Linked DNA regions of Anolis sagrei. The main gene of each other region encodes a partner of the protein of the gene in region 4 in a complex. Links are inferred from orthologs where the notes say so. Each region holds a gene or a part of one and is shown on either strand. Other genes may lie near its edges.

Region 1 (7,655 bases), on a different chromosome or scaffold from region 4:
AGGAAGGAGAGAGTGAGAAGGAGGGAGGGAGTAGGGGAAGGAAAGAAGGATGGAAAGAGAGAGGGAAGAGAGAGAAAAAGAGTAAAGAATGAAAGATAGAAGAAGGAAGGAAAGCAAGAGGAAGTGAGAGAGAGAGAGAAGGAAGGAAGGAAGGGGAGAGAGGAAGATGGGGGAAAGATGGATGGAAAGAGAGAGGGAAGGAAAGGAGAAAGGAGAAAGAAAGTGGGTGAGAGAAAAGGAAGGAAGGAAAGAGGAAGAGAGAGAAATGAAGGGAGCAAGAAGGAGGGAGGGAATAGGGGAAGGAAGGAAGGATGGAAAGACAGAGGGGAGAGAGAAAGAAAGTAAAGAATGATAGATGGAGAAGGAAGGAAAGGAAGAGGAAGCGAAAGAGAGAGAAGGAAAGAGAGGGAGAGATTCAAGGATGGAAAAAAAGATGGATGGAAAGAGAGAGACGGAATGAAGGAAATGAGAAAGTGGGGGGGGGAGAGGAAGAAGGAAGGAAAGGAAGAGAGAAAGTGAAGGAAGAGAGCAAGAGAGAGAAGGAAGGAGTAGGAGAGGAAAGAATGATGGAAAGAGAGAGAAGGAAGGAAAGTAAAGAAGGAAGGAAGGAGAGAAAGAGGGGGAGGAAATAGGCTGGAAAGAGAGGGGGAAGGAAAAAGAGAGGAAGGGAGGAGAAAAAGAAGCAAGGAAAGTAAAGAAGGAAGGAAGGAGAGTGAGAAAGGGGTAAGAAATGAGGATGGAAAGAGAGAGGGAAGAATGAGCAAGAGAAAGAAGGAAAGAGAGAGAAAAGGAAGGAAAGGGAAAAGTGATGGAAGGGGGGAGAAGGAAGGAGGGAGTAGGGGAGAAAAGAAGGATGGAAATAGAGAGAAGGAAGGAAAGTAAACAAGGAAGGAAGGAAGGAAGGAAGGAAAGAGGAGGAAGAAATAGGCTGGAAAGAGAGGGAAGGAAAGAAGAGAGGAATGTAAGGAAGAGAAGAGAGGGAAGGAAGGAAGGAGGGAAAGCAAGAGGAAGGAAGAGAGATGGAGAAAGTAGGGGGAGGAAAGAAGGATGGAAAGAGAGAGAGAAGGACGGAAGGAAGGAAGGAAAGAAGGCAGGAAGGAAGGAAGAAAAGAAAGAAAGAGAGAGGAAGGAAGAGAGAGAAGAAAGGAGGGTGTAGGAGAGGAAAGAAGTATGGAAAGAGAGAGAATGAAGGAAGGAAAGAAAGAAAGAGGAAGGAAGAGAGAAAGAAGGAAGTAGGGAGTAGGGGAGGAAAGAAGGATGGAAAGAGAGAGAAGGAAGTAAACAAGGAAGGAAGGAGGAAATAGGCTGCAAAGAGAGGGAAGGAAAGAATAGAGGACTGTAAGGAAGGAGAGAGAGAAGGAAGGAATGAAAGTAAGAGGAAGGAAGAGAGAGAAAGGGGAAGTAGGGGGAGAAAAGAAGGATGGAAAGAGAGAGAAGGAAGGAAGGAAAGTAAACAAGGAAGGAAGGAAAGAGGAGGAAATAGGCTGGAAAGAGAGGGAAGGAAAAAGAGAGGACTGTAAGGAGGGTAAGAGAGAGAGAAGGAAGGAAGGAAGGAAGGAAGGAAGAAGGAAGGTAAGCGGAAGAGAGAGAAGGAGCGAGTAGGGGGAGGAAAGAAGGATGGAAAGAGAGAAGGAAGGAAGGAAGGAAGGAAAGAGGAAGGAAGAGAGAAAGAAGGAAGGAGGGAGAAGAAGAAGGAAAGAAGGATGGAAAGAGAGAGGGAAGGAAAGAAAGAAAGAGGAAGAGAGAGGGAAGGAGGGAGTAGAGGGAGGAAAGAACAGTGGAAAAAGGGAAGGAAGGAAGGAAGAAGGGAGAGAAAGAGAAGGATGGAGGGAGGGAGTAGAGGAGGAAAGAAGGATGGAAAGAGAGAGAATGAAGGATGGAAAGGAAGAGGAAGGAAGAGAGAGAGAAGGAAGGAGGGAGTAGGGGGAGGAAAGAGAGAAAGAAAGAAAGAAAGAAAGAGGAAGGAAGAGAGAGAGAAGGAAGGAGGGAGTAGGGGAAGGAAAGAGAGAAAGAAGGAAAGAAAGAAAGAAGAAGGGGGAGGGAGAGAGAAGGAAGGAGGGAGTAGGGGAAGGAAAGAGAGAAAGAAGGAAAGAAAGAAAGAAAGAAGAAGGGGGAGGGAGAGAGAAGGAAGGAGGGAGTAGGGGAAGGAAAGAGAGAAAGAAGGAAAGAAAGAAAGAAGAAGGGGGAGGGAGGGAGAAGGAAGGAGGGAGTAGAGGGAGTTAAGAACAGTGGAAAGAAGGAAGGAAAGAGGAAGGAAGAGAGAGAAGGGGGGAGGGAGAGAGAAAAGGAAGGAAGGAGGGAGTAGAGGAGGAAAGAAGAGTGGAAAGAGGGAAGGAAGGAAAGAAAGAAGAAGGGAGAGAGAGAGAAGTAGGGAGGGAGTAGGGGAGGAAAGAAGAGCGGAAAGTGGGAAGGAAGAAACGGAGAAAGCAAGAAAGAAGAGAGGGGAGGAGGGGAGGAAAGAAAGGGTAGAAAGAGAGAAGGAAGGAAAGGAGAGAGAAAGGAAAGCAGGAAGGAGAGAGAGAAACGTGGAGTGAGGGAGGGAGGGAGGGAAAGAAAGGGAAGGAAGGAGAGAGAAGGAACGAAGGAAGGAGTGAGAGAGAAGAAAGGAGGGGAGAGAGAAACGTGGAGGGAGGGAGGGAGGGCAGGAAAGGAAAGAGAGGGAAGGAAAGAAAGAAAAGAAGGAACGAAGCAAGAAGAGAGAGGGGAAGAAAAGTAAAGAAGGAAGGGAAGAGAGAGAAAGAAAGAGAGAGAGAGAGTGGAGGAAGGCAGGCACACTCACTCACCTCGTCCCACTTCATGAACTTGCTGCCCTTGAGGAGGGTCTCGTGGACCTTCAGGGGCTCCAGCTGGAGGGCATGGACCCCCGGGCGGCCCCCAGCCATGGCGCCCCCTCCCCGGAAAGCCAAGCCAAGCCTTTGCCTTTGCCTTTGCCTTGCCTTGCCTTGCCTTGCCTTGGCTGCTTGCTTGGGCCGGGAGGGGCGAGGCTAAGCGAGGCGGGGTCTGCCTTTGGGGACCCTCCCTTTCCTCCTCCTCCTCCTCCTCCTTTTGGGAGGAGCCCCATTCCCTCTCATACCTCAGAACTCTGTAGCCCAAGCATGGGCCCTCCAGGAGTTTTGGACTCCAACTCCCACAATTCCTAACAGGCGTAGGCTTTGAACTGGATTATAATATTCCACACCTGGAGTATTGTGTCCAATTCTGGGCACCACCATTGAAGAGAGATGTTGACAAGCTGGAATGTGTCCAGAGGAGGGAGACTCAAATGATCAACAAACCCTATGAGGAGCGGCTGAAAGAGCTGGTGAAGTTTAGCCTGCAGAAGAGAAGGCTGAAATCGCCTAGCATCTTGGATGGAGGGCAATTAATAAGTAATTAAATGATGATGATGATGATGATGATGATGATGATGATGAGAGAAGGCTGAGAGGAGACATGATACCCCTGTATAAATATGTGAGAGTTGACAAGCTGGAATGTGTCCGGAAACGGCGACTCAAATGATCCAGGGTCTGGAGAACAAGCCCTATGATGAGCGGCTTAAAGAGCTGGGCATGTATAGCCTGACAAAGAGAAGGGCAAGAGGAGACATGATAGCCTGGTATAAATATGTGAGAGTTGACAAGCTGTCCAGAAACGGTGACTCAAATGATCAAGGGTCTGGAGAACAATCCCTATGAGGAGCGGCTTAAAGAGCTGGGCATGTATAGCCTGACGAAGAGAAGGTTGAGAGGAGACATGATAGCCTGGTATAAATATGTGAGAATTGACAAGCTGTCCAGAAACGGTGACTCAAATGATCAAGGGTCTGGAGAACAATCCCTATGAGGAGCGGCTTAAAGAGCTGGGCATGTTTAGCCTGAAGAAGAGAAGGTTGAGAGGAGACATGATAGCCCTGGATAAATATGTGAGAGTTGACAAGCTGGAATGTGTCCGGAAACGGCGACCCAAATGATCAAGGGTCTGGAGAACAAGCCCTATGAGGAGCGGCTTAAGGAGCTGGGCATGTTTAGCCTGAAGAAGAGAAGGCTGAGAGGAGACATGATAGCCATGTATAAATATGTGAGAGCTGACAAGCTGGAATGTGTCCGGAAACAGCGACCCAATGGCTTCTCTGTGTAGTCTGACATGGTGGTTGTTGTTGTGGTCCAGCATTTCTGTGTTCTCAAATAATATGCTGTGTCCAGGCTGGTTCATCAGGTGCTCTGCTATGGCTGACTTCTCTGGTTGGAGTAGTCTGCAGTGCCTTTCATGTTCCTGGATTCGTGACTACACAGAGAAGCCACTGAAATCCACAAGCATGTGGACAATTTCAACAGAAAGGAAGAGACCATGAAAATGAACAAAATCTGGCTACCAGTATTTAAAAACTCTAAAATTACAACAGCAAAACAGCAGAGAGGAAACAACCAGGCACATCTTAACACCTCTCAACAAAAGATTTTCCCAGGCTCAGCCAGGCCTTCAAATGGTAATGAAGGTAGTCAGTTGAAACATTCACACCTAGCTCCAGCAGAGAAGAGCTCTTTGCCCCACCCCAGCCATTCCACAGATATATAAACCCATTGTCCTAATTCCAACAGACCTCACTACCTCTGAGGATGCTTGCCATAGATGCAGGCGAAACGTCAGGAGAAATGCCTCTAGAACTTGGCCCTATAGCCTGAAAAAACCCACAAGAACCTAGTGATTCCAGCCATGAAAGCCTTCGACAATACAATTTTAACAAATATAAACTTATTAGTATTTCAATGGGAAGTGTGGGCCTGCTTTTGGCTGATGAGATAGGATTGTTGTTGTTGTTGTGTGCTTTCAAGTTGTTTCAGACTTAGGTTGACCCTGAGCGAGGGCCGGGTAAACGACCTTGGAGGGCCGTATCCGGCCCGCGGGCCTTAGTTTGAGGACCCCTGGTACACAGCAAATAGAGGAATTGCACCCAGCCAAACACGGACCTGGACCAAACTTGGCACACGGACCCATCCGTGCCGGACTTGTAGTTCGCACTGCATTTAGAGATATTACCAAAATAAGTGAGAAATGTTGGAATATTTGCCTTTAGATTGTAACAACAGCGCTGCACTCTGCTTTCCTCATTTCTTTGAAAGGGAAAGTACCAAACAAGAAAATAAACTGTGGACAAACTGGTTTTCTTGCCTCGAACAGGCTGTGCAAGATCCGCTGCCATTCATTTCAATCAGCTTCCACTCCCTTCTCTAGTTTCCCTGACTTTATAATAGCTTACACTACTTTATTTCTAGTTTAAAAGTGAGACAAATCTAATTCCGATTCATGTTACGAGTGGAATCTAAAACATCTGGAGTGCCCAAGGTCTGCCTGGAAGCAAGACTGGGAATCATGCAACTTTGCAGATATTCAACTATCAATCAATGGCTTGTACTTACTTAGACAATCCCTCATTGTCCAAGTGTGATGGCTGTTGGAGTTCAGCGTGTGGTTGTGTTTCAGGATCAGGGTGCTTTGGATGTGGGGAATGATGTTAATGAGGTTCTGAAATGGCAGGGAGAAGGTTTGAGGGAAAGAGGCAAAGAGAGTCCCTGAGGTCTGAAAAAGTACGGTTTATTCTCAGTTGGTATGGACCCTGCTGGTAGTCCAGAGACAGGGCACCAAACAAAGAAAAGCCTTGGTTTATATACCCTTTAACATAATATGCATGCATCATACAGGCATCATAATGTGCCTCACAAAATTCTACTTTTACATTTATTTATTAATTAATTTATTTACTTTATTTGTATACCGTTCTCAGCCCTTAGGCAACTCAGAGCGGTTAACAACAAACAGCAGCAACAATTCAATGCTATCATCATACAAACCATTTAAAAACAATTAACATAATAATACACTAAGCAATTAACATCAATAAACCTCAGTAAACAACTCATTAGCGTCTCATAACTAAAATAATAATCCAAGCTCATCATCCGTAGTTCCGATTTCCTATAATTCATTATAATTCATTGCACTGCCTATTCAAACGCCTGTTCAAATAACCAGGGTTTCACTTTCTTCCGAAATGCCATTAATGAGGGAGCCGATCTAATGTCTGTGGGAAGGGCGTTCCACCACCGAGAAGGCCCTGTCCCTCGTCCCCGCCAACCGTGCCTGAGTTGCAGGCGGGACCGAGAGCAGGGCCTCCCCAGAAGATCTTAAAGTCCTAGTGGGTTCATAGGCGGAGATGCATTCGGATAGGTAACTTGGGCCAGAACCGTCTTTAGGGCTTTATAGGCCAACACCAGCACTTTGAATTATGCCCGGTAGCAAATTGGTAGCCAGTGGAGTTGGCACAACAGAGGAGTTGTATGCTCCCTGAGCGCCGCTCCTGTTAGTATAGCTGCCGAACGTTGAACCAGTTGAAGCTTCCGAGCAGTCTTCAAAGGCAACCCCAAGTAGAGAGTGTTGCAGTAGTCTAAACGGGATGTAACCAGAGCGTGGACTACCGTGGCCAAGTCAGACTTCCCAAGGTACGGGCGCAGCTGGCACACAAGCTTTAGCTGTGCAAATGCTCCCCTGGTCACCGCCGAAACCTGGGGTTCCAGGCTCAGCGATGAATCCAAGATCACACCCAAGCTGCGAACCTGCGTCTTCAGGGGGAGTGCGGCCCCATCCAACACAGGCTGTAACCCTATGCCCTGTTCGGCCTTGCGACTAACCAGGAGTACCTCTGTCTTGTCTGGATTCAGTTTCAATTTGTTCGCCATTGTTTGACTTCAATGGCATATTTTAACTTCAACACCTGTCAGTCTTCATTTAAGCACCTTTATCTAAGGAGCTGCTATTAATGAGAACCATGCACCAGAGTGTCTACTAGGCCACTGATAGCAAAGAGCTTCCATCCATCTTGAGATAAGTTCTTCCTGAAGCCTCTTGATGGCCAGCTCATTAATCTTAGAATAGGAGCCCCCGGTGGATTGAAGACCGACAGGTCGCAGGTTCGAATCCGGGGAGAGCTCCCTCTATCAACTCCAGCTCCTCATGCGGGGACATGAGAGAAGGCTCCCACAAGGATGATAAAAACATCAAATCATCCGGCCGTCCCCTGGGCAACGTCCTTACAGATGGCCAATTCTCTCACACCAGAAGCGACTTGCAGTTTCTCAAGTCGCTCCTGACACGACAAAAAAAAATCTTAGAATCATAGAATTATAGAGTTGGAAGAAACCTCATGGCCCATCCAGTCCAACCCCTTTCTGCCAAGAAGCAGGAAAACTGCATTCAACGCACCCCAACAGATGGCCATCCAGCCTCTGCTTAAAAGCTTCCAAAGAAGGAGCCTCCACCACACTCCGGGGCAGAGAGTTCCACTGCTGAACGGCTCTCACAGTCAGAAAGTTCTTCCTAATGTTCAGGTGGAATCTCCTTTCTTGTAGTTTGAAGCCATTGCTCCATTGCGTCCTAGTCTTCAGGGCAGCAGAAAATAAGCTACTACTGCAACGTTCTCTCCGTGGGGTTGCCTCTGAAGACTGCCCGGAAGCTCCAATTAGTCCAACGAGCGGCAGCCATATTACTAACAGGAGCAGAATACAGGGAGCATACTATTCCTCTGTTGCGCCAGCTCCACTGGCTGCCGATTAGCTTCCGAGCACAATTCAAAGTGCTGGTGTTGACCTATAAATCCTAAACGACTCCAGCCCAGTTTA
Region 2 (7,017 bases), about 27 Mb from region 4:
CCAAAAGGAACTTTGTATGCTAGATTCAGTGGGTCTCTTACATTCCTTATGCTGTCAGGACTGGATATGAATTTAAGTATTGTACCTTTAAAGATTGCCAATTAAAATAAATTTCAGATTACTCGACATGATGCAAAAAAAAAATCAGTGGAAAGTGAATCCTAGTTTGCTAAGAAAAAAATGGAAAGTGATTCCCTCCAAAACACGATCCTTGAATAGCAGACTGCCTAATTCAATTTCACACTTCCTGAGGGAGATCAGGAGAAGCATCTTAAAGGGAATCCAATGATTGACTTCCTTTCAATGTGGTAACATGTTGGAGGTTTATGATGCTTTTGTAAAGTTTGCTTCTATTAAAGATGTCAGAGAGCATAACTGATGTAGTACTTCCGTACTACAAAATGCAATTTTTTCAGAGAACTCACTTTTTAGGATTGCAAACAGAATTTATTGGGTTTGAAATATGTAATAGGGTCTGAGTGGGAACAGCAACTGTGTCATGCTGTCCAAGTGACCACTATAAATAATTCAATTTTACCATGCTAATAGATTTGTTTCCTTGTAAGCATCACCTCATAGTTCCTAATTAAAAGATGTAAAGTGGAATTGAATTTTTATTATTATCTGACAAACTTGGGAGGCATAAGATTCCATTATCTACTTTCTCAGGGTAATTTCCCTCTTTTTCTCTCTTCCGCATTAAGGAAACTATGCACATCTGCATTGAAATAACTACTTTTTTCTTGCCACTGGAAGAGAACTCTTGCACATATTTTTTTTCTTTATTAATGAAGTCAGGGGAGAAGAGTCACATACAGTTCACAAAACCTGGGGTACAACCATATACATATTCCCAGGCAGCTAATTAAACTTGATATATGAGCTTTGGAAACTGTTTTTTTTTGGGGGGGGGAGTTGAATGTCCAGGAAGACCTAACACCGTAATCTGGTCAAGTATCATTTTGTGAATCTAAGGAACCCTAGAGCCAAGATTAAGTTGTGACTCCAACAACTCAGGATTGACCTTTCTCTCACCTCCTGAGCCCCACCCTCTCAGCCTCAAGGTAATTAAAAATAAAAGGATATGTATAGGTGTTTCTTGTCACCCCAGGAAACACCGACACATAATGTAAAGGTAAATGTTTCCCCCTGACATTAAGTCCAGTCGTGCCCCACTCTGGGGTGTGGTGCTCATCTCCATTTCTAAGCTGAAGAGCCGGCGGTGTCCTTAGACACCTTCAAGGTCATGTGGCCAGCATGACTGCATCCATATACACACACATGAAATCATACATTTCTTTAATTAACAAAATTCACTCTGCCAGGTTTTCTGGGACTGTCTCTTTCCTTTTCTCCTTTCTAACTTCTTCACTGTTGCAAAACTTTGCCTAATTGAACTGCCCGCTCCAATATGTTACTATTCTGTTTTTACAACTGTGCTTCTGTTGTACAGCTGATCAGGGCAACACCCAAGGTTATCAAATATCATAATTTATATTATGTAGTGCTTATGTGACTTTGGACTATGTGGCTGTCTTGGGAAACAAGACAGATTCTTCCACTTGACTCCCCGCTGAGAGACTGATTGCCAACAATCCCCAGGACCCAGGAGTCACTTGATTGACTTTCTGTTTTTCTGAGCCTTAGAGACAGAGCACAGACGGTGTTCAGCTAAGATAGCTGCTAAAAAACGCTGAGCTAATTGGGAGACGCCCTAGCACCTCCTACGTTGGGAATTCAGGGCTATAAATCAGAAGCAGGAGCAGACAGCTTTCGCTGGTAACAACGATCCTGATACTGCTGTTTTCACTCCAATGGAATCTGCTTTGTGTCTGCTTCTAAAGACTTAGTTCATTGACCGTTGTCTGATGGAAGACTGCTGTTTCTTTTGGGAAATTGTAAGAGACTTTAATTTGTGTCTGGATTAAGATTACCTTGCTTTCTTTTGCACTTTTCAATTGTATTTGCTTATCCTTTGTATTTGCTGAAGTAAAACATTTTTCTTTTACTTTCAACATTGTCTAAATGCTGTTTTTGAAGGGCAACTCAGGACAATTCTACCTTAATTCAAAAGTGAGGTGCTATCTGCAGCCCAAAGAGACTTAGCATATCTAATTTCAGCCCCTTACTACTGGGAAATTGTGCAGGTCTGATTTAGACAGTATTTCTCTATTGATGCAACCCAGAGTTGCCGCACCACACTGTTGACTCATGTTCAGCTTGTGGTGTACTAAGACTCCTAGATCCCTTTCACGTGTACAGTTTTCCAGCAAAGTGTTACCTATTCTATATCTGTGCATTTCATTTTTACTGGTAAATGTAGCTGTGGTGTTGCAATAGGTTAAACCCTTGTGATGGCTGAACTGCTGACCTGAAGGTCGGTGGTTCAAATCCACGAGATGGGGTGAGCTCCCATCTATCAGCTCCAGTTTTCCATGCAGGGACATGAGAGAAATGTCCCACAGGATGGTAACAACTGATTCTCCCACACCAGAAGCAACTTACAGTATGTTCTCAAGTCACTTCTGACACTATAACAATTGCATTAGAGACTATGTTGTCTGATATGATACATGGAGTACCTTCAAATCACAGATATATAACATTCTGGGTTAGATGAACCAACATCCGAACTTAATATAACAACGTCATACATTCATGGATAGGCAGCACTTGTGACCACAGTGGGAAATGACTTTAAAAAAAGACCCAACAGGACAAATTCTAGACTATTTACAAAATCAGCATTTGGTTTCACTTCATAGAGATGGGAACTATGGTCACTGGAGTTCTTGAGCGTATATTACATATTTTTGCGTAAGCTTACCTTATGCACTCTACAGATTCTGGCCGAGACTTCAGATCCTGGTGTTTAGCAGCTACTCCAAAATGAATGGGAAATAGTCCACCGAGAATAATATCTCCTTTCTTTTGTGCCCTTTGATTTGGTCCATAGGCAGAGGTATTCCAAGTAAACGCAAAGAAAAGCAAATAAAAACTATAAAAAGTCATTGTTCCTCCTTTTCACAAAGGGATTATCTTGCAAACTTCAAAATGTAAGAAGGATAAATGTAATACATTCCAACAAACTGTTTCTCTTTGGAACAGTGCACACGATGGATTTGGCAGACATGGCTAATTGATGGTAATCCACTAGCTGTAGTTATCCATCTCACCAGTGGGTTTCTTCATTACACTCTGCAAAGTCCAGCAGCTTCTTGAGGACCACTACAGTGTTAGTTTGCCTAAAACAGAACAGATGTAAAAGAATCAGCTCAGATGCACAAAGAAATAATGTTGAACTTTCAGAGAAAGAGCCCCTCTCCCCTCCTCAAAATGCATTATTAATCTTTTATTCCTCACAACTAGCACATTAACCTTAAACAATAAGGATCTTCATACCTCTCCAGAGGTGCACTTTTAAAGTTAGGCTTCTCAACATTTATTTTTATTTTTTCATTTATTAAAAGTATTTAGATATTGCTCACCAGGATCCGTATGGTGATCCGCATCAGATAAAAACAATTAAAAGATTAAATATATAGATACAAATGTTAAAAAGAAACTAAAAACAATGGGTTGTTGTGAGTTTTCTGGGCTGTATGGTCATGTCCCAGAAACATTCTCTCCTGATGTTTCGCCCACATCTATGGCAGAGGTTGAGGGGTCTGAGGTTCCCTGCCATAGATGTGGGTGAAATGTCAGGACAGAATGCTTCTGGAACATTGCCATATGGCCTGGAAAACTCACAGCAACCCAGTAATTCCGGCCATGAAAGCCTGACAACAAACTAAAAGCACTCATCATAAACAATTTAAAGGCAATGTATTGTCAAAGTTTTTCATGGCTGGAATCACTGGGTTGTTGTAAGTTTTTCGGGCTGTATGGCCATGTTCCAGAAGCATTCTCTCCTGACATTTCACCTACATCTATGGTAGGCATCCTCAGAAATTGTGAGGTCTGTTGGAAACTAGGAAAATGGGGTTTCTATATCTGTGGAAGAAAGAACTCTTGAAAATGGGGTTTCTATATCTATGGGAGAAAGAACTCTTGTCTGTTGGAGCTACGTATGAATGTTTTAGTTGGCCACCTTGCTGAGCATTTGATGGCCTGACAGTTTTTAGAAGTGGCTTGTTACTGCCTGGGGGAATCCTTTGTGGAGAAGTGATTAGCAATCTCTGATTGTTTCTTGCCTGGAGTTCCCATGTGTTTTAGTGTTGTTCTTTATTTACAGTTATAATTTTGGAAGTTTTTTTTTTTGTACTGGTAGCTGGATTTTATTCATTTTCGTGGTTTCTTCCTTTTTGATGAAATTGTCCACTTAGCTTTTAATGACCTAGCAGTTTTAAGGTGAGGCTCCTTGCTGCCTGGGGAAATCCTTTGTTGAGATGTGATTAGCTGTCCCTGATTGTTTCTTGTCTGGAGTTCCCCAGTTTTTGAGTGTTGCTCTTTATTTACTGTTTAAAAGCAGGCAATTAAAACAGCAGAGCAATATCAAACACCAAAGACTAGATGGAACAATACTGTTTTAGCTGCCTGCTCAGAAGAGATGGAACCAGCTAAACATCTTTTGGCAGGAAATTCTACAGTCAGGGTTCTGCTAGAGAGAAGGTCCTGCCATATGAACACCAACTTAGTCTTATCAGATGCTGAGATATGCAACCCTGAGGATCTCTAAATTAGGGCAGGCTCATGTGAGAGAAGGCGTTCTTTCAAATATCCTTGAACAATGCTTTTAAAAAGATTTTGCTGGTCAAAATCAGCACACTGAGTTACTATCAAAGGTGAAATGGAAGGCAGTGCAGTTCTTGTAAGATTCATGGTTATGTGGTCTTTAAGTACATATACCTTCAATAGTAGGGATGCTGTATTAGTTGCAGCGCCTGAACAGGGCAGCATCATATAGAATATGTTTAACAATCTAACCAGGTGGCAACTAAGGCCCCATCTACCTTTAATGCAGCTTGAAGCTAGCTTCAAACCTGTGGTGATAGACAACAGACTCTTGTGAGAAAGAAGTGTCTGAAAGAAAGCCCTTAAAGCACATCAATGTTCTGTGTAATAATTGCCGGGGCATCAAACTGGTTCCAGGGTTTCCTATGTAATAATCTGCTCAGTGGAATCACTTTCTTCAATGCCTGTTTGAAACTGACTTAAGTGATCAGTGTAGATGTGGCCTAAGGCATGATAGCACAACATTGCCAAGCTGAACCAACTGAAGCAGAACATGTACACTCCTGGCCACTGCAGCTACCTGGCCTTAAAGCAGTCCTACGTCCAAGAGCATCCTTATGAATCTGTGCTTTCACCAGGAGTGCAAGCATACCCAGAACAGCAACGATTCCAAATTCCAGGTTAGACTTCCTCCCGACCATCAGTGCTCCTATCTTGTATGGTTTGATCTTCAATTTGTAGGCCGACATCCAATTCTTCTTTGCATGACTCAGGACTTCAACTACCTCCCTGCCAACAGTTGTAAAGGACAGCTATATCTGGGATCATCAAAACTTTGGCGACACACAGCCACAACACTCCAGATGGCTTCCCCTAGCAGCTACATGTAGATGTTAGAAAACATAGAAGGCAGAACTGAATCCTTTGGATATCCATGAAGGCCACAATTCATACCTCTGACCTAGATGTTCTTCATTATTTGGTTATTACACTGATCTATAACTTTGCCATGTAAAATATGCCAACCATCTCTCATATGTAAATAACCAAAATAAACAAATGCCAATGAAATAATTGTCACAGAAGTAGCAACAATGCAAGTCCATAAAATACTGTACACAGAAAAACTGCCACTTGAAACTTACTATCAAATCTGTCGGAAAGTTGCAGAACTTTGTCTTTCCCTGCTTCTAAATGGACATCAAATTTAGGACCAGGCTTTTTCACATTTGGGGTGACACAATCAAGAAAGTATTCTGCTCTTTCACTACCCACCTAATGCACAGACCATGGAAAGATTTGGAAGAGGATCTCTGCTGAGATGTGTAGAATATCGATAGCTTCTGGTCAACGGAAGATGCCTTGGACCAAATTTATCTAGGACTTTAAAGGTAACCATCATCACTTTAAACTGAGGGCCCTTCCACACAGCCCTATACCCAAGAATATTAAGGCGGAAAATTCCACATTATCTGAGTGTGGACTCAGATAATCCAGTTCAAGGCAAATATTGTGGGATTTTCTGCTTTGATATTCTGGGATAAAGGGTGTTTGGAAGAGACCTGCACTTCCCTCACTGTGGAAGAACATGCGAATCAAGAATAGGGCTCCACAGTCATGTAACCACCATCACTACACTTGGAAGGCTGTCATATTTGGGACAACAAGGGATTGCCTAAGTAAATAAGAAAACGGAACATGTCCAGTTCATAAGCTATTGGGCTTCAAAACATTCCTTAAAATCCATGCCATTGCTCTCATAGTATCCCTATGAATAAATGGAGTTGGAAAGTCATTTGTACTTTAGGCTATGCTATCAATCTATGACTTTCAAGCAAATCATGAGATGTCACTAAATTCCCTACTATTCCAATTATTTCCCTGGTTGCTTGTTAGAAGCAGAAAGACAAATGAAACTAGTGCAACCCCACAAATAGCTTTACTTATTTATAAGAGCAATTGTTTTATGCTTCTTGCTATTTAAGATGGCTTACATAAACAATATGATAAGTCTAAGAAAAAGAAACCATTTTTAAAAAAGGAAAACAGTGCTATAAATAGCCAGTATGAGTGGAAAAAGTGCTTAACATCTTCCAGTTACGTTTTCAGTGATAAAATCAAATCCGCAAAACCTTTTAACAACAAATCAGAAATAACAGCCAACAAACATAAGGAAAGAGCACAAATCTATGTTTTAGGGAAAGATAAGAGCATCCCAAAGCAAAGCCTGAACTACCTTTAAAATAAATAAAATGGTCCTTGTATAAACATGCCCTAAAGCCCTAAACAGTCCGGGTCCAGGCTATTTAACTAAACGCATTCCGCAACCAATACAGACACTGT
Region 3 (7,101 bases), about 39 Mb from region 4:
CCAGCACTATGATTCTATGTCCCATAACAAATTGGCTCAAATTAAACACCTATTTTTAGACAGTTGACAAGCTTCACATGTTGGGTGTGTTTCTTTTGATCTCACCAGCTAGCAGACTAGTTCTACATGTTTGGTGTTATATATCTCAAAATATCCAGTCATGAAGGAGGAGAAATTTACTCCGAAATGTGTCAGTGGTTTATACATTGTTACATTGAGCCCTTGGTGTCTGCTGGGGTTTGGTTTCAAGGCTTCCGCTGAATACCAAATCTGTGGATTGTACGAATTGACAACAAATTTGGACATAATACACCTATCAGACCAACGAGTGACCATCACTCATAAAAACACTGGAAAACACAGCAGAAAAGACTTAAAAAGCCAAAAACCAAAAAATACCTTACAACGCATGTGCAAAACCACACACATACATATATATGCAAACACACATGCATACACAAATATATACACACACATATACACATATATACACAGAGAAAACACATATACACAGACTGGGCCACAACAACGTGTGGCAGGGGATGGCTAGTGGCATAATAAAATGGTTGTCTCTTATACAAAACAGCATGAGCTCCTGTCTCAGCTCTAGCTCCACATGCGGAGACATGAGAGAAGTCTCCCACAATATGGTAAAAACAGCAAACATCCAGGCGTCCCCTGGGTAATGTTCTTGCAGGCGGCCAACTCTCTCACACCAGAAGCAAGTTGCAGTTTCTCATGTCATTCCTGACACACACACACAAAATCCTGGAGTGCATCTGACTGTGGAATTAACACAGTTTGGTGCCAATTTAATGGCTCGGGAAGCGATAGTTTGGTGAGGCACTTGTATTCTTTGGCAGAGAAGGCTAAAGGCCTTGTGAAATTACAACTCCCACAATTGCATAGCATTGAGCCAGGGCAGTCAAAGTCTCACACCAGAAGAAAACTAGCAGTTTCTTAAGTCGCTCCTTATATGAAAAATAAAGAAAAAGAAAAAACTGCCTTGGTTTGAGAGCAAGTCCCACTCAACTTATCAAATCCCAGAGTAAACATGGGCTCAGATCTTGCAGCCAGGTGCAGAGTTGAAACCAATGGATTCAAATGAGAAACATTTGACTAAACATTAGGAAGAAATTTGAGAAGGTAAGAAGAACCATTCCACAGGAAACGTCAGGAGAAATGCCTCTAGAACATGGCCATATAGCCCGAAAAAACCCACAAGAACTGAGAACCATTCCACAGTTTGGGAGGGGGGGGGGAGGACTACAAGGTTTTGAAGCCAAGGGGTGCATCTACGCTGTAGTATTAATGGTGTTTCACCACAACATTGCCCTCAGTGCAATGTGTTAAACCCTTGTGCCGGCAGGACTGAAGACCGACAGGTCGGAGGTTCGAATCCGTGGAGCGTGTGAATGAGTCCACACTGCCAGATAATCTGGGATAAACAGAAAAGCTGAGATCGGATCCTGAGATATAGGGCCTGTGGGAAAGGGCCCTATGATAATATAAAAAGGAGGGGAAGAGAGCACTTCTCTTCATCTCTCTCCTTTGAGTATCTCCTTTTTCTTTTCTTGTACATGTTTACTATGTAAACTAAAACAGTATTTCATCATGGTTTCTTGGGCAATTCAAACATGTTCTGAAGTATAAAAGAAACCTGGATTTTCTTGATTGGATAATGAATTCCCTTAGCATCTAGTAGTAATGTATGCCTTTGCAAGGCATGAGTTTTGATGTGTCATCACTTTACTATAAAAATGGTGTATTAGGCTGGATCTACGCTGCCCTATATCCCAGGATCTGATCCTAGATTATCTGCTCTGAACTGGATTAAATGAGTCTACACTAGTAGACAATCTGGGATAATAATATAATCTGGTAACAGATCCTAGGATATAAGGAGCCCCTGGTGGTGCAGTGGGTTAAACCCTTGTGCTGGCAGGACTGACAGGTTGGAGGTTTGAATCTGGGGAGAGTGTGGATGAGCTCCCTCTGTCAGCTCTAGCACCCAATGTGGGGACATGAGAGAAGCCTCCCACAAGGATGGTAGAACATCAAAACATCTGGGTGTTCCCTGGGCAATGACCTTGCAGACGGCCAATTCTCTCACACCAGAAGCGACTTGAAATTTCTCAAGTTGCTCCTGACATGAAGAAAAAAAACCAACATTGAATTGCCATGGCTCAATGTTATGGAATCCTTGGAGTTGTAGTTTGGCAAGGTCTTCTCTTGAGTTTTCTCTGGCAAAGAGGGCAGGTGCCTCACCAAAGTACAAATCCTGGGATTGCATAGCATTGAGCCATGGCGCATGATCAGTCTGCATTCATTCTACAGTGTAGATCAATGGGCGAACTTGGGCCCTTCAGGTGTTTGGACGTCAACTCCCACCATTCCTAACAGCCTCAGGCCCCTTCCTTTTCCCCCTCAGCCGCTTAGCGGCTGAGGGGGAAAAGGAAGGGGCCTGAGGCTGTTAGGAATGGTGGGAGTTGACGTCCAAACACCTGAAAGGCTGAAGTTTCCCCATACCTAGTGTAGATGCACCCAAGGATGCTTCAAATTGAGGCTTTGCTGCACTGAAAGTGACACTGGATGCTCCATAGGGGTGGATCTTTCACTGGAGGACCTCTTTACCCCTTGCTGGAAAGATCCCCTTGATGGACTGCAACCCTCACCGGTGGGGATTCCGGGCGCTGTTTCCCACCCCCAAAGCTCCATTTTCCCCAGTCCCGGCCCCTTCCCTGCCCCACCCCACCTGGGGAAAGGTGAACGTCGCTTCCCCCTATCTCACCTGTTGCTGAAGCGGCCACCAGAGCTGCCCCCAAGGCCAGGGTGCCCAGCCAAGCCCGGCCGAGGCGCCCCATTCTCCAGGCACGAGTCCCGCGTCCGAATCGGGAGAGAGAGCGCTTCCTTCTCCTGTGGTCGGAGCCTCCGGAGTTTCGGTGGCACCTCAAGGGGAGGGCGGGGGAGGAGGAGGAGAGCCCAGGGGGCGGGGCTTAGCAGCACCTTCGTGGCGTCACCGCCAACTCCACCCGCCCCCGCGCCCAGGTGAGCTCAGCGTCCTGGAATTCCGGCCGAAAGAGGAGGAGGAGGAGGACGCACAGCGCCCACTCTAAAGCAGGCCTGGGCCAACTTGGGCCCTCCAGGTGTTTTGGACCAACTCCCACCATTCCTAACAGCCTCAGGCCCTTTCCTTTTCGGCTGAGGGGGGAAAAGAAGGGGCCTGAGGCTGTTAGGAGTTATAGGAGTTGAAATCCAAACACCTGGAGGGCCCAAGTTGGCCTGTGCCTAGTGTAGATGCACCCAAAGATGCTTCAAATTGAGGCTTTGCTGCACTGAAAGTAACATTGGATGGTGGGAGTTGAAGCCCAAAATACCTGGAGGGCCCAAGTTGGCCCATGCCTGCTGTGAAGTCAGTGCAGTTTAATAGCACATGGACTGCTATGGCTCCATGCTGGGGGATTCTGGCAGCCATTTTTGAGAGATGAAGCAGGGTATAAATCTTTGTTGTTGTTCATTAGTTCAGTCGTGACTTCATGGACCAGTCCACGCCAGAGCTCCCTGTCGGTTGTCACCACCCCCAGCTCCTTCAAGGTCAATCCAGTCACTTTAAGGATACCATCCATCAATCTTGCCCTTGGTGGGCCCCTCTTCCTTTTTCCTTCCTTTTTCCCCAGCATCGTTGTCTTCTCTAAGCTTTCCTTTCTTCTCATTGTGTGACCAAAGTGCTTCATCTTGGCCTCTACTATCCTTTCCTCCAATGAGCAGTCAGGCTATATTTCTTGAAGTATGGACTGGTTGGATCTTCTCGCAGTCCAAGACACTCTCAGAACTTTCCTCCAACACCACAGCTCAAAAGCATCGATCTTCCGTTGCTCAGCCTTCCCTAAGGTCCAGCTCTCACATCCATAGGTTACTACAGGGAATACCATGGCTTTGACTAGGCGGATCTTTGTTGCCAGTCTGATGTCTCTACTCTTTACTATTTTATCGAGACTGGACATTGCTCTCCTCCCAAGAAGTAAGCGTCTTCTGATTTCCTGGCCACAGTCTGCATCTACATTTGTTCACTCCTGATATGATAAATAAAATAAAATTTATCCCAATCAGCCCCACATATGTACTTCTCAAATGTATTGTTTTGCTTAAATATAGAGTTGTTTTATATGCTAATTTTGGGCCATACATAAAATATATTTTTTCTGATATGAGATTCCTAATACATTGTCCGTTTGATGTATGGACCAAGGTAGAAATCTCTCACCTCCTGATACAATTTACAATCAAATAATATGTGTCTATATCCTGAATTTCAGGTGCTTCGCAGATACAAATCCATTCATTATAAGGGATGCTGTTAAATTTCCCATATCCGACCATTGTATCAAGCTGATCAGATCTAGCTCAAGTGAATACCTCCCCTAAAATGTTTTGGCATTTGCATTTTTAGTTGGCAATTTGAAAGATAGGTTTATATTGACTCGGCCATTTTAAGGTGGCAACCTTACTGAGGGTGGCTATATCTTTTTGTGCCTCTATATCCAAAATTCATTGAATAGCACTCTTTATATCATAAAACTATCGACTATATCATAAAAACATAACAACATTTAAACATTAACATGTGGAGTTAAAAACATATCAGAAATAAACATTACAATCACATAATCCGGAAATTATGGTCCAAGTCCATTCCAAATATCAAATATCAATTACATATAATCCCTGATCATTCCTTGTATTGCTTACTGCCCAAAGGCTTGGTCCCATAGCCAAGTTTTACTTTTTTTCTGAAGGTCAGGAGGGAGGGCACTGATCTAATTTAGTTGGGGAGGGAGTTCCATAGTCGAGGAGCCACCACTGAGAAGACCCTGTCTCTTGTCCCTACTAGTCACACCTGCGAGGGGGGTGGGACTGAGAGAAGGGCCTCCCCAGATGATCTTAACTTCTGAAATGGTTCACAGAAGGAGATACGTTTGGACAGGTAAGCTGGGCCGGAACCGAGCTAAACTCCAAGCTAAACATATCTAATTCCTCATAGGGCTTGGTTTCCAAACCTTTGCTCATTTTCATCACCCTTTGCTGGACACATTCCAGCCTGTCAATATCCTTCTTGAATTATGGTACCCAGAACTGGACACAGTTTTCCAGGTGGGCTTCCTCATACATACATACATAGAATAAATCACTGAGTTTTTTACTTAGGTGGTTAAGTTTTAAACCTATATTCATTCTCATCTAGGAGTAATCCTTCCCACATATTGTGAAAGGCTTTCATGGCCAGACTCACTGAAATGTTGTGTGGCCATGTTCTAGCAACATTTTCTCCTGATGTTTCACCTGCATCTGGCATCTTCAGAAGATCTTTCCTATGCTTAATTCATTTCTAATCATAGAAAGGGAAGATATATTATTCTGTAGGGCTGTCTAACAGCTTCACTGCACCCCAGCTGAAAGAATGGAGCCCCTGGTGGTGCAGTGGGATAAACCCCTGTGCCGGCAGGACTGAAGACCAACAGGTCGCAGGTTCGAATCCAGAGAGAGCGCGGATGAGCTCCCTCTGTTAGCTCCAGCTCCTCATGTGGGGACATGAGAGAAGCCTCCCACAAGAATGGTAAAACATCAAAACATCCTGGTGTCCCCTGGGCAACGTCCTTGCAGACAGCCAATTCTCTCACACTAGAAGCGACTTGCAGTTTCTCAAGTCACTCCTGACACACAAAAAACCTGAAAGAATGCTCAGCTGCTGACACAGTCAGAGGTGAAAGGAAAGTCCAAAGCTGCACAATAGGAACATGGAAAATAAGAAGCATGAATCAGGAGAAGTTTGCTCAAGCAAAACAAGAAATGGAATGTGTAACAGTGCAATACTTGGGGCGAGTGAGCTAAACTGATCAGGAATGAGACATTTTGAGTCAGAATTACACAGTCTTGTATTCTGGAAATGAAAACCCAAGAAATATTGGGGTGATTAAACACAATCTCTTGTTAATAATTGGCGACTGGAACACAAAAATAGAAAACAGAGCAAAAGTGAAGATTTATCTGTCTTTTCCCCTATTCTGTTCGCTATTTAAACCAATGATGGGTGGCCTGCGGTCCCACTATAACCTATGGAGAAGCAGTTTCTAGAGTTATTATAACATTCCTTGAAATGTTGTAAAATGTATTAAAATGATAATATTGGTGGAAAGTTTTTTTCACTTTTGTCATTATCTTCACATTTTTGTTTTGCCTACTTTTGAATGAAAATCAAAAGCACTTCTAGCCTTCTCCCCCTTGAAGCATTAACAACACAGAGAGGTGGCAGGTTCCCAGCATCAGATTAAAAAAAAAAGATTCCTAGTAGGAGTCTTGTGGGAAATGGGGACAGGAGAGGTAGTCGCCACTGTTGAAGTAGATAAGGCTTCACACATATTTCTCTATTGCGAGAAGAAGTTAAAAGAAGCCATTCCCAAAAGGATGCAATTGGGTAGAATACAATAGTGAAATAACAGGGCAATTCAGATGGAATGCACCACAGGGATTCTGACATGCACTTGCAAATCCATCTTCCCGAATGGCCACCAGTGCATTTCAGATTTTACTGCATCTTTGTTGGCTATGTAGTTTTATTGGCTATTGCCTCTCACTTTTATTGTTAATTTGATTGCTTTTCAAAAACATCATAGGTTAAATGTTTAGCTCAGATGTATATTCTGGTCTATGCATTTTAATAATACATCCATCATGTGATTATAGTTATTAATCTCTGCTGGAGTGCCTGTATTGTGCAAATTGTACTTATTAAACGTTATACGTTATATTCCTGCTTCTTGGCAGGGGGTTGGACTGGATGGCCCATGAGGTCTCTTCCAACTCTTTGATTCTATGATTCTATGATTCTATACTTGTCCAGTTGATTCAGCCAGTCTAGTTGAGAATAACAATCTGATTTTTTTTAGTCTAGATCTCTTACAACACTGGCCCCAATCGACAATTTAGCTCACTAAAAGGATAGAATTACAATAGGAAAATAATTATTCGTTTAGCCTGAGTAGAAATTCTGACATTCATATATAAAGCAATCCTCAAAAAAGGGAGAGAAAAACAATAATAGTA
Region 4 (7,850 bases):
CAGGATGATCTCTGAAATGGTAGGAGGCAAGATTTATGCTGATCACTGCATCTGGTTCTTGCCATTTCACAGATCCTCAGACTCTCTCCAGCCTTGTGTCTTTTACACAAGTAGAAAACAATGGAAGCTATCCTAAAAGGCTATTATAGCAGTACTATATTCCAAAATAAAAACAATTAAAAATCAAAATACAGACAGTCCTCAAGTTACAAACATCCAACTTACAAATGACCCATAGTTAAGGATGAGGCTGAGACAACAGGAAGTGAGAAAAATCTGCTCCTGGGAAGGGAAATTCACTCCTGAAAGATTTATCATGGGGGAAACTTTCTCACCAAACCTTGTTTCCACAACAAGGCAAATTTTTCAAAATCTGAAATAGACAATGAATCAAATGACATAAAGGAAGGCTAGAAAATGAGGTAAAATCTTCTATACAGGAGGCACAGACGATAAAACAAAGACCATAGGAGTGTTAACCCTTCCCTATGCTATCCAAGGCACTTGAAAAATGTGCCTGTTCTGACTTACATATCTTATTCGAAACTTGGGGACTGCCTACACAGAATATTTTGGTCTGAAGCATTTCAGATAAAAGATATGCAACCTGTACTATCTCTTCATGAAGGATTGGTTGAATCAGCCCTGGAGGGCGCAAAAGTATGTATTCTACAACCAGATACCCTCAAGCAAAACAGCACATATGTATATCTGAAAGGAGAATGCCCTTAAGTTGTGCTAAATCAGAACCTAAATCTCTGCATTTACAATATTGCCTATGTTTTGTTCGAATGTGTAACGATCTAAGATCCACAAAGGGGAACACAGTTATGTTCAGGGAACTGTTATAGATGCAATTCTTTAAACCAGGTCATAAATGTGAAATGTAAGATACAATTATTCTGCAATATGAATATTCTTCATTAGAAGTGTCCTATTCATTCCACACTCTTACAGGTAAAGCAGTGAATGCTAACCCAAAGGGAATGTCTTATAGCACTTCAGGGAAGTGGAAAAAACAACCTCAGAGTGTGCCTTGTCTCACGTATCTGGCTAGTTATTATTGGAGATATCTCCATGGTTGTCATGGAGGCCATGAAGTCCCAAGCTGACCCTAAAGAGTCAGTCTTGACATAAATGGTGAGGCTGTTTCTTAACAACAAGCTATTGCCATAGTTGTCATCTTTGTGTGAAAACACAATCATGTGAATCCACTGAAAAAGCATAATGCTTTATTGCCTATCTTCATAATATTGTTCATATTCTATCAGTACCAGCAGTGTACATAGCACCTAACAATTATACAGGCAAAAAAGTCACAAGATGCTTTAATCTGAAATAGACAATGAATCAAATGACATAAAGGAAGGCTAGAAAAGTGGGGGTAGGAAGGGAAGGGAGGAATGTGGGTGATGCAGTTCCAAAACCAAGGATGTAAAATCATGTCAACATTTCAAAAACTGAACTTTGAGAAGAAGAGAGGAAGCATCATATAAAAGTTCAGGAAAGCCATTCAATGCATAGGAAAATTACTTCTTGGTATCATCCTAGAAGGGTAATTTGTAGATACAATTTTATTTTTAAAAACTAAACCAAACATGCTTGTGATTTCTAATGAACTAGACAAAGATAGGGATTGTCTCTTTGTATCTTAACCACAGCTTGCAACTGAAAGTAGTAAATGAACATTTTGCAGGACGAAATGAACTTCAGCCCTCATTAATGTCTGCAAAAAAAAAAAACTACTATCGAAGCACAAATACCGATTAAAATGTTGGCTTGCTCCTTGAAACTGAAGAATCCCTAACAGTAATTCTTTTTATATTTAGAGGAACGCTTACCAAAAGTAAATTCCATATGGATTAAACAAGTGCAATATTACGGATGGCTTAAAGTAGTGGTTCCTAACCAGTGGTCCACAACAACTAAAATGTGGTCCGTGGCCTCACCATTACTACAATATTGCAACGAGAGCGACCTGTCTCGCAAGACCCTCTTATAGTGCTGAGGCTTATTAATTTTTTTTTTTTTTGTGGGCGAGCAGATAGCGACTATTGGATGGCATATGTTCTGTATAAAAAAACTACAGCTGATGTGGTCTATCCAATGCACTTTTCTGACTCAGCACCCCAAATAACCAAACCAGATCTAAAGTTGACCAAAAACTGATTTGTAACCCTTTTGGTACTAATGTTGGAGAGTGGTCCCTGGTCAAAAAAAGATTGGGAACTACTGCCTTAAAGGAAGAAAAGAAAATTGGAAGATAACGTTTCCATGTCTGGTTTGTGATGCCTTTTTTTGTAACACCAGGAATGATTCTATTTTTATTTTTGCACTGGAACCCCATTTGGGCCACTCCATGGCAACTCATTTCCATTAGACCCAGAAACAAGGCCAATTGAGAAGAATGATGGGAGCTGTAGTCCAGTTATTCTAGGGGAATGTAGATTCCACACTACATGCCACTGAAAACAACAGGATTTACACAATACATAGGATCCCTTAAAGAAGATAGGTTTGTGTTAGATCTGTCACAGCAAGAACCTATATACAACATAGAAAAAGTATTGACAGTTATGTAGGTCCCAAATCTGTATTACAAACCAGTACTGCTTTGACCAAAGCAATGGGCACAAAGTCTGTGCAAGCTTTCAAGGTCTCCAGAACTATTTGTCAAGCAAGACAGTGTGAGAAGCAGGATGTCTCCGAGTATGGAACGAGCTGGCTATTCCTTGACCTCTCCCTGGTGTTTTTCACAGCACATGATACATTGACATAGGCAGGTGATGTTTATTTTCTATGTTGTGAAAACTTCTGACTTTTTGCAGGTCCTGCTGCTGTTAAAGGTAAAAGGGCAGGTTGGCAGCAACCCTCTTCTTACATTCTGCCTAAACAATCTTTATACATCCTTCTCTAGCCTTTGCCCAGCTTGAAGGTTTCCAGTTCTGAAACATTGAAGAAAATGGGTTTTCGCTGTGCAGTTCATAGAATCATAGAGTTGGAAGAGACCTCGTGGGCCATCCAGTCCACCCCCTTGCCAAGAAGAAGGAAAAATGCATTCAAAACACCCTCGATAAATGGCCATCCAGTCTCTATTTAAAAGCCTCCAAAGAAGGAGCCTCTGCCACAGTCTGGGGCAGAGAGTTCCACTGCTGAACGGCTCTCACAGTCAGGAAGTTCTTCCTAATGCTCAGGTGGAATCTCCTTTCCTGTAGTTTGAAGCAGTTGTTCTGTGTCCTAGTCTCCAAGGCAACAGAAAGCAAGCTTGCTCCCTCCTCTCTATGACTTCCCCTCACATATTTATACATGGACATCATGTCTCCTCCCAGCCTTCTCTTCTGCAGACTAAACATGCCCAACTCTTTATGCCACTCCTCATAAGGCTTGTTCTCCAGACTCTTGGTGATTGTAATCTCCCTCCTTTGGACACATTCCAGCTGTCAACATCTCCCTTCAACTGCGGTGCCCAGAATTGGACACAGTGTGATTTCAGGTGTAGTCTGACCAAAGCAGAATAGAGGGGTAACATGACTTCCCTGGATCTAGACATGATACTTCTATTTATGCCAGCCAAAATCCCATGGGTTTTTAAGCTCCCGCACGACATTCTTGGCTCATGTTAATTTTCCTGTCCACGAGGACTCCAAGATCTTTTTCACATGTATTGCTGTCAAGTCAGGCACCCCCCTGAGACAACCTTTTCCCATGACTCTTCCAGGAGAGAATTTCCCATTGGGAGGATAGCGTTCTCTCACTTCCTGTTGTCTCACCCACCAACCCCTGAGCTCTTGGTGGTGCAATATGTTAAACCCTTGTGCAGGCAGCACTGAAGACCGACAGGTTGTAGGTTTGAATACGGGAAGAGCGCCGATGAGCTCCCTCTGTCCGCTCCAGCTCCCCATGCAGGGACATGAGAGAAGCCTCCCACAAGGATGGTAAAATATCAAAACATCTGGGTGTCTCCTGGGCAACGTCCTTGCCAATGGCCAATACTCTCACAACAGAAGTGACTTACAGATTCTCAAGTCGCTCCTGACACAAACCAGCCTCCCAAGTCCCCGGATGGCACAATGGGTTAAGCCCTTGTGCTGGCAGGACTGCTGACCAAAAGGCCTGCAGTTAGAATCTGGGGAGTGGCGTGAGCTCCTGTCTGTCAGTTCCAGCTTCTCGTGCAGGGACATGAGAAGCCTCCCACAAGGATGATGAAACATCTGGGCGCCCCTGGTTAACGTCCTTGCAGACAGCCAATTCTCTCACACCAGAAGCAGTTTCTCAAGTTGCTCCTGACACAAAAAAGGGCCCTTCCTTTTGTAAGTCGGATGTTTGTAACTCAGGGATTGCTTTTATTTGGAAGACCTCTTTTTATGTGATTCAACCCAATCTAGATGGAACATCTCATCCAATTCTCCAACGCAGTGGCCTAAAATCCAGGAAGCCTCTTACTAACATACAGAAACTAGACCAAGAATGTACCATTAGACCTCGGCTCTGTTTTTCCGTTTTATTTCCGTGCCCCTTGAACATTGTGTTGACTCTCCCCCCCCCCTTCTAAAAATAAGAAAGACCTTCCATAAGGTGTGATTTGCTTAATTCTGAGAGAAACGGGTGGGAGGGAGAGAGGCGGCAATGAAACAACCACGCGCAAAAAAAAAAAAAAAAGAGGAGGAAAAAAACCCTGCCCTGAAGGATTATTTTGTTTCCAAAAGGGAGGGAAACAAATCGTGGCTGCTTTCCTGTCTGGGGGGGGGGGGGGGGGCTGCGAGTGCAAGAAGGAAGGTGGGGAGGGAGGGAGGGAAGCAAGGGTCGGGAGGCTTTGACTTCGGGGGAAGGAAGCGGAGGAGGAGGAAGAGGGGGCGCGGAAAGAGGGAGGCCAGCCAGCCAGCCAGGAAAAGCTCCGCCATATTTCTGCCTCCACCACGCCCGGGAAGCCGAGCGAGGCAAGGCTACAGATAGGCTCCGGCCTCCGCTCTCGCCAGAAGACCCACAGCCTGGCCCTCCTTGCCTTGCCCCCCTCCGCAGGGGAGGCAGAGAGAGGGAGAAAGAGAGAGAAAAGCAAGCGCTTCCCTGCCTCGGAAGGCAAAGCCCCCCAAACCCCACTGAAGCTTGTGATTGTATCCAAGGCGGGGAAGGCGTCCTTCTTTTCTAGGAAGCTTGTAATTTCCTACAGATAGGATAGAGATTGCGTGGAGGCAGGGCGCGAACAGTCCGCCTCCTGAGGCGGGGAAAGGAAGGAAGGAAAGAAGCAAGGAGGAAGGGAAGGAAGGCAGGAGGGGCAGCCTGGGCGTCCGCTGGCCCTGCGAAGGGGATTCTCGGAGGCCGGGGCGAAAGAGGGCGGGGTCCGAGGGGCGCCTGCCTGGGCTCCTCCTCCTCCCAGTGGATGCCTCCCTGTTGTTTGGCGCAGGGCTGAGGCTGGGAAGGAGGCGGAGGCTCGCCCGGAGGCACAGGGCCGGGCCAAGGTGGGCGAGGGGGCTTCGCGGAAAGGGAAGGCAGGCAGGCAGGCAGGCAGGACTTGCCCGCGCGGTGGGTGCGCCGTGCGCGTCTCCCTCCGCGGGTGCGCCAGGACTCGCTCTTTCCCCCTTCCCTTCCCTTCCTCCTCTCCTCTCCTCTCCCCTTCCCCTCCCTCGGGGCTGGCTCGCTGTCTCCGGGCATTGGGAGGAAGAGGAAAAGGGAGGAGGGCGTCGGCAGAGGGGGTCGCTGCCTCGCCGAGCTCGGAAGCCAAAGGGCGTTTGCTCTCTCCTCCTCCTCCTTCTCTTCTCCAGAGGAGGGGCCCTCCTTCTCTTGTTTGGCTCCCCTGGTTGTGTTCCTTTGGGGGACGGGGCCCCCGCGCCTGAGCCACTGGGGAAGCATGACCCTGGAGTCCATCATGGCGTGCTGCCTGAGCGAGGAAGCCAAGGAAGCGCGGCGGATCAACGACGAGATCGAGAGGCAGCTGCGCCGCGACAAGAGGGACGCCCGGAGGGAGCTCAAGCTGCTGCTCCTGGGTGAGTCGCGCCTCCAGACAGACCCCACGCATCATCCCCACCCCCCCTCCTTCCTCTGTATCCCCTTTCCTCGCCCCCCTTTTGCCCCAGATTGCCTCCCCGCCCCTCAGCCAGGAAACGGGCGCCGCTTCCCTTTTGGATTGCTCTTGGGGCAAAGACCGTCGCCTGGTGGTGGTGTGTGTGCGTTTGTATGTGTCTTTGAGGGCATGAGCCTTGTGGGCTTGGGCTCCTGGTTCGGCGCAGTGGCGAACCTTGTGGCGATGATGATTCACAGCCCAGCAGCCGCAGCTTGGGGGGGGGGGGGGAGGAAGGTGTGTGCGAAGGAGGGGGGGGGGGAGAAAGGAGAAGCCACGCCGAGTCGCGCACCCTCCCCTTTCCCTCCATCCTCCCTTCCATCCCTCCTTTCCTTTCCTTCTCACCTCCCCCCTTCCCTTCCTCCTCCTTTCCTTCCCACCTTCCACCCCTTTCCTTCCCACCTCCCTCCCACTTCCCTCCCCTTTCCTTCCCTCCTTCCTTCTTTTCTTCCATCCCTTCCTCCTCCTTTCCTTTCCATCTCCCTCTCTTCTTTCCTTCCTTCTTCCCCCTTTCCTCTCTCCCTCCCTCCCCTTTCTTCTTCATTTCGTTCCCTTCTCTTCCTCCTCCTTTCCTTCCCACTCCCTCTCCTTTCCTTCCCTTCATCCCCCTTTCCTTGCCACCTTGCTCTCTCTTCTTTCCTTCTATTTCTCCCCCTATCCTTCCCATTTCCCTCCCCCTTTCCTTCCTTCCTACCTCACTCCCCCTCTCCTTCCTTCCTACATCCCTCCCCTTTCCTTGCTTCTTCCTTTCCTTTCTTCCCTTCCTCCTCATTTCCTTCCCACCTCCCTCCCCTTTCCCTCCTTCTTCCTTCCCTTCCTCCTCCTTTCCTTCCCACTCCCTCCCCTTTCTTTCCTTCCCTTCATTCCCCTTTCCTTGCCACCTTGCTCCCTCTTCTTTCCTTCTATTCCTCCCCCTATCCTTCCCATCTCCCTCCCCCTTTCTTTCCTTCCTTCCTACCTCACTCCCCTTCTCCTTCCTTTCTACATCCCTCCCCTTTCCTTGCTTCTTCCTTTCCTTCCTTCCCTTCCACCTCCTTTCCTTCCCACCTCCCTCCCCTTCTTTCCTTCCTTCCCTTCCCATCTCTCTCCCCTTTCCCTCCTTCCTACCTCCCCCCTTCTTTCCTTCCTTCCCTTACCCCCTTTCCTTCCCACCTCTCTCCCCTTTCCCTGCTTCCTTCTTTCCTTCCCACCTCCCCCTTCTTTCCTTCCTTTCTGTTCTCCCCCTTTCCTTCCCGCCTCTCCCCTTTTCCTCCATCTTTCCTTCCCACCTCCCCCTTCTTTCCTTCCTTCCCTTCTTCCCCCTTTCCTTCCTGCCTCTCTCCTCCTTTTCTTTCCATCTCTCCCCCTTGTTTCCTTCCTCCTTTCCCTTCCTCCTCCTTTCCTTCTCACCTCCCACCCCCTTCTTTCCTTCCTTTTCCTCCCTCTCCCCTCCCACCTTCCCCCCTCCTTCATCTTTCTTTCCCTTTGCAACTCCCACCCTCTCGTTCCCAATGAGTGCTTGACTCCCTTCCCCCCCCCTTCACCTTGGGTTTGTTGCCTCTCTTTTTCTGTTTGAAAGCAAAACAGATGTAGGTAGAGGCGAATGGCTCCTTCAGAGTGTAGTGGGTGGCTCTCCATGTGTGTGTGTGTAAGAGAGAGAGACACACAGAGTGGCTAGTTGCCAAAAATGGAGAGAAAAGGAAGCGGGTGGGTGAAAGAGAGAGTGAGCTGGTAAGTGAGGGAGAAGAATTAGAGAGCCATTCAGACACTAGTGTATGGTGGAGAAGGAGGGAAATGTGCACCCCTCTTCTCCCCT

The links.
Region 1: the proteins of guanine nucleotide-binding protein G(q) subunit alpha (region 4) and PLCB3 are in contact, whole or in part, in a cryo-EM structure (PDB 8UQO), measured with the Homo sapiens proteins. The link is inferred for Anolis sagrei from reciprocal best matches to the Homo sapiens genes GNAQ and PLCB3. Residues at the interface, in NP_002063.2 of Homo sapiens: Pro185, Thr186, Thr187, Ile189, Glu191, Pro193, Arg202, Gln209, Arg210, Ser211, Glu212, Arg213, Arg214, Lys215, Trp216, Ile217, His218, Val240, Glu241, Glu245, Glu249, Glu250, Ala253, Leu254, Arg256, Thr257, Ile258, Thr260, Tyr261; in NP_000923.1 of Homo sapiens: Pro257, Arg258, Leu259, Asn260, Glu261, Val262, Leu263, Arg707, Asp709, Lys710, Ile719, Asp721, Gly722, Ile723, Val724, Ala725, Ser845, Asp846, Tyr847, Ile848, Pro849, His852, Tyr855, Ala856, Ala858, Leu859, Ile860, Asn861, Pro862, Ile863.
Region 2: the proteins of guanine nucleotide-binding protein G(q) subunit alpha (region 4) and CASR are in contact, whole or in part, in a cryo-EM structure (PDB 8SZG), measured with the Homo sapiens proteins. The link is inferred for Anolis sagrei from reciprocal best matches to the Homo sapiens genes GNAQ and CASR. Residues at the interface, in NP_002063.2 of Homo sapiens: His63, Leu196, Gln197, Ser198, Ile323, Tyr325, Ile337, Arg338, Phe339, Phe341, Ala342, Lys345, Asp346, Ile348, Leu349, Gln350, Leu351, Asn352, Leu353, Glu355, Tyr356, Leu358, Val359; in NP_000379.3 of Homo sapiens: Lys644, Ala645, Asn647, Arg701, Val702, Leu704, Val705, Phe706, Ala708, Lys709, Ile710, Pro711, Thr712, Phe714, Phe801, Arg873, Thr876, Ala877, His879, Ala880, Phe881, Val883, Ala884, Arg886, Ala887, Thr888, Leu889.
Region 3: the proteins of guanine nucleotide-binding protein G(q) subunit alpha (region 4) and F2RL1 are in contact, whole or in part, in a cryo-EM structure (PDB 9D0A), measured with the Homo sapiens proteins. The link is inferred for Anolis sagrei from reciprocal best matches to the Homo sapiens genes GNAQ and F2RL1. Residues at the interface, in NP_002063.2 of Homo sapiens: Arg37, Ile323, Tyr325, Asp346, Ile348, Leu349, Gln350, Asn352, Leu353, Glu355, Tyr356, Asn357, Leu358, Val359; in NP_005233.4 of Homo sapiens: His108, Pro109, Ala110, Met114, Gln172, Arg173, Val176, Ile177, Pro180, Met181, Gly182, His183, Ser184, Arg185, Met265, Met268, Leu269, Met274, Asp275, Asn277, Lys280, Lys281, Arg284, Ala285, Leu288, Ile289, Tyr344, Tyr345, Val347, Ser348.

Annotation. Positions count from the first base shown.
Region 1 is NC_090032.1:16,250,928-16,258,582, reverse strand, and holds the start of PLCB3 (1-phosphatidylinositol 4,5-bisphosphate phosphodiesterase beta-3), read right to left. Parts: upstream 3,006-7,655; 5' UTR 2,883-3,005; coding exon 2,784-2,882; intron 1-2,783. UniProt on the Homo sapiens protein: Catalyzes the production of the second messenger molecules diacylglycerol (DAG) and inositol 1,4,5-trisphosphate (IP3).
Region 2 is NC_090022.1:198,540,894-198,547,910, forward strand, and holds the start of CASR (extracellular calcium-sensing receptor), read right to left. Parts: upstream 3,013-7,017; coding exon 2,828-3,012; intron 1-2,827. UniProt on the Homo sapiens protein: G-protein-coupled receptor that senses changes in the extracellular concentration of calcium ions and plays a key role in maintaining calcium homeostasis.
Region 3 is NC_090022.1:264,603,907-264,611,007, reverse strand, and holds the start of F2RL1 (proteinase-activated receptor 2), read right to left. Parts: upstream 3,004-7,101; 5' UTR 2,865-3,003; coding exon 2,792-2,864; intron 1-2,791. UniProt on the Homo sapiens protein: Receptor for trypsin and trypsin-like enzymes coupled to G proteins.
Region 4 is NC_090022.1:225,883,425-225,891,274, reverse strand, and holds the start of guanine nucleotide-binding protein G(q) subunit alpha, read left to right. Parts: upstream 1-4,848; 5' UTR 4,849-5,845; coding exon 5,846-5,981; intron 5,982-7,850.